Linked DNA regions of Xenopus tropicalis. The protein of the gene in region 1 purifies or fractionates together with the protein of each later gene. This does not show direct contact. Links are inferred from orthologs where the notes say so. Each region holds a gene or a part of one and is shown on either strand. Other genes may lie near its edges.

The links. Proteins that work in one complex are often made in the same cells at the same time.
Region 2: the proteins of plekho2 (region 1) and capzb purify together in Homo sapiens (affinity purification with mass spectrometry; 3 studies listed by BioGRID and IntAct, counting the BioPlex papers as one, with this or other methods). This does not show direct contact. The link is inferred for Xenopus tropicalis from reciprocal best matches to the Homo sapiens genes PLEKHO2 and CAPZB.

The regions. Positions count from the first base shown.
Region 1 is NC_030679.2:116,154,873-116,158,149, reverse strand, and holds the end of plekho2 (pleckstrin homology domain-containing family O member 2), read right to left. Parts: coding exon 2,128-3,277; 3' UTR 992-2,127; downstream 1-991.
Region 2 is NC_030683.2:129,989,334-129,993,614, forward strand, and holds part of capzb (F-actin-capping protein subunit beta), read left to right. Parts: intron 1-1,445; coding exon 1,446-1,535; intron 1,536-3,555; coding exon 3,556-3,677; intron 3,678-4,281. UniProt on the Homo sapiens protein: F-actin-capping proteins bind in a Ca(2+)-independent manner to the fast growing ends of actin filaments (barbed end) thereby blocking the exchange of subunits at these ends.

The sequences.
Region 1 (3,277 bases):
ATGACCACCTTTATCCTGAAGAACAGGCAAGAGCAAGCAGGAACCTCAGAAACCAGATCATCTGAACTGGCAATTTATAATGCACCAGGAACTCAACCCTGGCCTTTGGCATGATTTTATTTAGAATCTGATGACATCACAGCACGGTGTAATGACAATATTGCAAGTGTACTTGGCCCATGATGTCACCAGTAGTCTGTGCTACATCACTAAGTATAGTCATTAAAGACGAACTAAAGCCAAACTAAAGAAGTAGGGCAGAAATGTTGTACATAACATTTTGGACTTCTTTACCAGCCCAAGGCAACCACAGCCCTTTAGCAGGGAAGATCTGTATCTCTGAAGATGCCCCAGTAGGCCTTAGGGACCCACTCACAATATACTGTATACTGTATATAGAATATAAATGTTACACTAAAAGGCTTATTAGTAATTAATTCAGATAAATACTACATCACAGTTTAGAAACCAGTGCAACTAGCATCATAATTTATAATCATCCTGTGACAAGTTTGAAGTCTTGGATCATTGTGGTTATTGAGATGCTGAAACTTTAGGTGCAGTATATAAAATATGGTGTTTTAGCCATATTCATTTTTAGGGTTTAGTGGACGTCACTATACAACATTAGCCAAAAAGACCTATTTCTTCTCCAGTTGTTACCTTGTTACCTGATTCTCTGTGTGATATCACCCACTGTGAGAAAAAGTAATATGTTTCAGCTTGCAGAGAAATGCTTTGTTTACATCCTTGGTGATGCTCAACCACTGCCCAGTGACTAGAAGAACCATGCAATAAAATCATATTGAGGAACATCTTGCTACTTGTTCCTTCATATTCACAGAATCAGCATTACCATGGAAATGTCAACTAATTCTGTAGAAAAAAAGGAATATAAACCAGTGTTACATATAAAAAACATATTAATAATACAGGGGTTCAAACTCTGTATAATGAGTAATTGACTAGCAGGGATTTAAGAGATGTGTCATTAGAGCATAGAAATTATTTTATTTCTCATGACAAGTGAGTGATATCTCAAATAGGGAAATATGTAACTTTTGTATAATGCGTTCATTCAAAGGTCATTATACCTTACAGGTGTATTTCACATGATCTTTTTGTAAGGGAAAGGCAGGGGACAATAGCAGATCCATTTTAAAAAGTCTTGTTCACCTATAATTTAACTTTTAGTATTAAGTAGAGTGTGATATTGTGAGACAGTTTGCAACTGGTATGTATTATTTGTGGTTTTTAAATTATGTAGCTCTTTGTTCAGCAGCTCTCCAGTTTGGAATTTTTGCAGCTATCTGGTTGCAAATTACCCTAGCAACCAGGCAGTGATTTTAATGAGAGACCCTAAGATGAATAGGAGAGGGCCCAAATAGCATGTTAAGTAATACAATTTAACAATAACAATTAAAATGTACCCTCATGGAGCAATAATTGTTAGGATGCTGGGGTCGGTACCCCCCATTTAAAAGCTATAAGGAGTCGAAAGAAAAAGGCAAATTATTCAAAAACTATAAAAGAAAAAAATAATACCGAATGAGAAGTTGATTAGAATTGGCCAGTTTATAACATACAAAATGTTAACTTAAAGGTGAACAACCCCTTTTGATATGTAACATTTAATCTATGCTTTGTAAAAAATAACCACTTTTTAATATACATTTAATATATTTAAATATTATATCTGTTTTGCTTTGTGTAATTTGGAGTGTACGATGAACCTATGAATATGTCTATTTATAATCATATACAGTATAATGCATTTAGAATCACTTGTTAGCTAAGCTTGCATCATGGCTTGTGTACAATAATCTACAATGTCCATTCTGTTCCCCAGGAAACACTGACACAAAAGAGAGAAGGTGTACAAGATAAAGTGCCAAAGCAGTTTTAGAAGGGTGGTGCTTATCTCAGAGTTCCACTCCCTCGGGCCTCTGATCTCCCTCCCCCAACACGTCCAAAGGTAACTATATTGTATGCGTGTTCAGAGAGGGTTGGGTGGGCAGTGGGGGGGCCCCTAGTATGGCAGCTCCGGTGGGCCCTGCATCCCCCAGTCCAACCATGGCTCCGCTTCTGAGGTTTATTCTCAGTATTGTGAGGACACTTGAGTGGAGGCTAAGGGACACTTCTCCTGTACAAAGTCACTAGGTCTCTCTTTTTCAAGGTTACTGCCCCAGCCACATCTATTGATACATTACTGGATTCTTGTAACTCTTGTAATACTTCTGATGCCTCTTTGAGTTGCTTCACAGCCTCATTTAGAAGCGTCTCTGCCTCTGGCCCATTGCCTTCAGGACTATTTATAAGATCGCCCTGCAAGACCCGATTTAAAAGTGTCTCTGTTTTCTCCCTTCCACGGGCAAGCTTCATTTCAACTTGTTGCAGATGGTCCTTAGTAAGATGTAACATTGGCGTTTTATGCCCACTCCTGCTTTCAGAACCCATACTGTCTTCTGAAAGGAAGTCTCCCAGGGAGGATGATCTGGGTATTCTCTCAGGAATGGTTGACTTTGCTAATGCAGGATTAATTTGGGTTAGTGTGCTCTGTACTTGTGAGGACTGTTCTTCCATACTTTGGATGCAACCTGAGTCTTCAAAAGCCTCTTCTTTAGCTGTTTCCTTCTTCTGCACTTCACTAGGGTCAGGCATTTCTTTAGTTTCAGAATTATCGGAACCCTCTTCCACTTCTTCAGTGGTTTTCTCATCTAGCTGATCAAAGATGTCCTGATCATTAGACTGTTGGCTGTTCATGTCATCGTTCAGCTCTGGTTCTTTTGCTTCATCTGACAACTCAGCTGACTCAACAGAAGTCTTTTCAAGTTCATTAGAATCAAATTCCACCAGGTTCTCTTTGCTCCCTCTGTCAACTGGCTTTATTGAATCTTTGTCCATTAGATCTGATGTGGATCCTTCCCATTTAATCTTCATTTTGTCAGATAAGATCTTTGGAGGAGGTTGGGGAGGATTATTGATATCTACCAAGTTTTCTCTGCTCCCACTAACAGGCAAATTTACTTCAGGGTTTGTGTTTCCACCATTGGACAAAAGTTTTTCTCTTGCATAAATGTTCTCTTTAAGGATTTTGGGTGGTGGTGATGGTGGGCGAATGATTGGTGCAACACTGTCTGTGTTATCTGGATGGGGCTTTCCTATGGATGGTTGTACAGAAGTCTTATCTAGAGGTAGCGTAGGTATTTTTGTGTGTTCTTTTTCTGGCATAGGACCTTGTTTTGGTGGCGGAACAGGAATTTTCACAGGTTTTTTC
Region 2 (4,281 bases), on another chromosome or scaffold:
TCAGGAGGAACAGCCCCCTAAGTTTGCTCATAGCCTGTACAGAGAGATACCATAAAACTATGGCACATAGGGATTCCCCTGTACTAAGCACAATTCAGCAGGAACAGCCCCCTAAGTTTGCCCATAGCCTGTACAGAGAGATACCATAAAACTATGGCACATAGGGATTCCCCTGTACTAAGCACAATTCAGCAGGAACAGCCCCCTAAGTTTGCTCATAGCCTGTACAGAGAGATACCATAAAACTATGGCACATAGGGATTCCCCTGTACTAAGCACAATTCAGCAGGAACAGCCCCCTAAGTTTGCCCATAGCCTGTACAGAGAGATACCATAAAACTATGGCACATAGGGATTCCCCTGTACTAAGCACAATTCAGCAGGAACAGCCCCCTAAGTTTGCCCATAGCCTGTACAGAGAGATACCATAAAACTATGGCACATAGGGATTCCCCTGTACTAAGCACAATTCAGCAGGAACAGCCCCCTAAGTTTGCCCATAGCCTGTACAGAGAGATACCATAAAACTATGGCACATAGGGATTCCCCTGTACTAAGCACAATTCAGCAGGAACAGCCCCCTAAGTTTGCTCATAGCCTGTACAGAGAGATACCATAAAACTATGGCACATAGGGATTCCCCTGTACTAAGCACAATTCAGCAGGAACTTGGGGACAGGGTCCCTTTGAGCAGTAATTGCTCGGCCGTTCCCCCCAGACTCAGTGCATGTAGCAGTCTTCTTACTTTCCCTTTACCTACAGCCGTTTCTCATCACCCAGAAGACTCTCTCTCTGCTTCCCATGACCTTTGGGAGCCGCTAGAGACAGTGGGATAAAATAAGCCGGTGTTTCCTGCGCAAATGCCCCGGGGCTCCCGCTGGGAGAGAGTCACCTGCGCTTCTGCTGGACCGGCCCCCTGTGCGCCAGATGCCCCCGCTGCTTTGTGTTTGGCCCAATATGTCAGCAGGGACCCCACTTCCTCGCCTCCTAATAACACCTTCCAGTCTCTCCGCTGATTGGCTGCATGGCTCCCTGTATTACTCAGCCCAGGCTGAGCATAGAATGCATCGATTGTAAGCTCTTGTGCAGAACTGGGCAGCCTTTTGCCCCGAACTTAGGGTATATGGATAAACATAGGGTTTTGGATAAACTTTTCCCATGGTTCAAATGGCTGAGCAGCCTGTAGCTCTGAAGCCCTCATCGCTTACTATAGGTCGCCCCCTGCTGGCCACGTAAGTGCTAGCACCCTATAGGGGATATGGAAACTCGCTATAAATGTCAATAATTGTAATTATCACGGCAGTGGGTCCAGCTTCAGTAGCCGTCTGGGCCTGAGTTCTGCATTCTGGCAACTTCTGGGTTTATAAACCTGTATTCTCTCCTTTTATTACTTGCCCTTTGTGCTCTAATTAGAATTAATGCGCCGTTTCCCCTTTCTTTTTCAGACTGAACAACAGCTGGACTGTGCCTTGGATCTGATGAGGCGTCTCCCTCCCCAACAAATTGAGAAGAACCTCAGCGACCTCATTGATTTGGTAAGGAAACCCCCTACGTCCGGGCTCACCCGCGGCCAATAGGTGCGGCCGTGCCCCGCGGCGCTGGGATATTGCCGTTGGTTGCACCAGGGGACTCCAGGAGCGACACATTTCCTCTGGTGCAACCAACTGCCCCCGTGATGCAGCAGGAAGAAACGTTGGGCTGAAGAGCTGACTAATAACATAGCAAGGACTGAATGTGGCCCTTGGGCACCTCATGCTGAGATTCTAGTTGAAGGCGGAAGGGCCCCGGCAGGGCAATTAGAGGAGGCAGAGGGGTCAGCGTTCCATACGTAGTTATATCTCCTGATCTCAGCCCCCCGGCCCTCATTAGTGCGTACCCTTTGCCTCGGCCATTGTCCTCTTCCTGGGACCAGCAGGCTATTAATTAGAGCACATTAGCGGCCCCGTCACTCACATGATTTCCCATCCACGCTAACGACTGAGGCCGCTGTGGGGCCCCCATCAGTGATTTGTGTGCTCTCCTCGCTACAGTTCTACAGTAGTGTCATGGCTGCCAGCACCAGATACAGACATGTTTCCATTGCTGGAGGGGATCTCACCATCAGCATAGGAAGGGGTTCCTTACTGTAAGGGCAGTCAGGTTATGGGATTCCCTACCAAGAGAGGGGGAATGAGTGATTCATTGGGGTTGGGGAGGAAAGGGGATCTCACCATCAGCATAGGAAGGGGTTCCTTACTGTAAGGGCAGTCAGGTTATGGGATTCCCTACCAAGAGAGGGGGAATGAGTGATTCATTGGGGTTGGGGAGGAAAGGGGATCTCACCATCAGCATAGGAAGGGGTTCCTTACTGTAAGGGCAGTCAGGCTATGGGATTCCCTACCAAGAGAGGGGGAATGAGTGATTCATTGGGGGTGGGGAGGAAAGGGGATCTCACCATCAGCATAGGAAGGGGTTCCTTACTGTAAGGGCAGTCAGGTTATGGGATTCCCTACCAAGAGAGGGGGAATGAGTGATTCATTGGGGTTGGGGAGGAAAGGGGATCTCACCATCAGCATAGGAAGGGGTTCCTTACTGTAAGGGCAGTCAGGTTATGGGATTCCCTACCAAGAGAGGGGGAATGAGTGATTCATTGGGGGTGGGGAGGAAAGGGGATCTCACCATGAGCATAGGAAGGGGTTCCTTACTGTAAGGGCAGTCAGGTTATGGGATTCCCTAACAAGAGAGGGGGAATGAGTGATTCATTGGGGGTGGGGGGAAAGGGGATCTCACCATCAGCATAGGAAGGGGTTCCTTACTGTAAGGGCAGTCAGGGTATGGGGGCTGCCAGTACTATGGGGGTATATTATATACAGAGCCCCAGGGTGGAGGAGAGGTGCCCCCCAGTTCCCAGGATGATGAAGGTTCTGCAGTATCCGGGGGGGTAGGATGGGGGGGACTGTATAAAGGTAGCTGTTACCCCCTCTTTTCCCACCTGGCAGCCGTGACCCCTCGGTTGCCCCCGTGTGTAGGAGCCGGCCACCCCGGCAGGTATCCAGTTTCTGGGCAGACAAAGGCTGATATTCTTGTGTGAGGGGTTTGTGAGTTTAATTAAGTCTGTGTAGGGCCGGAGCCAAGTGCATTATGGGGGGGGGGGGCAGCGCGGGGGTCCCAGGTACAACAAGGGCGGCCCTGTTCCCAAATCTCTATCAGAATCTCATTAACTTCTTTCAATTTGTCTTCTCTTTGTGTTCTGCCTCCTCAGATGTCTCCCCGAGCCCCTTTGCTTTCAGTGCCGTTACCCCCCCCCCCGCGCGCGCAGCGTGCGTCCCATAGCCCACCTGTATTCACCCACACCCCTCTCCCTGTGGTACAAGTGGTATCACCTGTGTGGGCCCTGGCTGCCTGCACCAATATGGCCGCCGTGCTGCTTCCCAGGAAGGTGGAGCTCAGAGGCAGTTAGAGACCTTTTTAAAGGGCAGTGGTGCCAATTGTGTGCCATTTGCCTACATTAAATACTAGCCAGGCCCGATTCTCACTTGCTATGTTCCTTACCTGGGGTTCTGGTTCCGCCCGTAGGTACCCAGTCTGTGCGAAGATCTCCTGTCTTCTGTCGATCAGCCCCTGAAGATCGCTCGCGACAAAGTCGTGGGAAAGGACTACTTGCTGTGCGACTACAACAGAGATGGAGACTCCTACAGGTCAGTACTCGGACCCATAAGGAGAGCAGGGATGTATGGGCCCGCACCCCTGGTTCTGCTCATTATGAAACAAACCCATCAGTTTGGGCTTCTCTGGGTTTCCCTGTGGTCTCACCAGTCTCTCATTAAAAGGGATGAAATCTAAAATAAATGGAAATACTCTCACTCAGAGGCATCTCTGGGCACTTTGTATGGTGTCTGAGACTGTTGCAGTTTTAGACTGCTAATACCAGACTTGTGGCCCAGGAGTTGTCTCTGAATGAGAGTCAGTGACCCAACAACATCCGCACAGTCATGTAACCCCCGAGTCACTGGCAGTTACACATAACTATAAACCCAGTGAGAATGAGGGATGAATGGATATTGGGGAGTTGTATCAGGAGTCAGAACCAGCAGTGCAGGGAAGGGAAAGGGACAGACACAGTGACAGTTACACATAACTATAAACCCAGTGAGAATGAGGGATGAATGGATATTGGGGAGTTGTATCAGGAGTCAGAACCAGCGGTGCAGAGAAGGGAAAGGGACAGACACAGTGACAGTTACACATAACTATAAACCCAGTGAGAATGAGGGATGAATGGATATTGGGCAGTTGTATCAG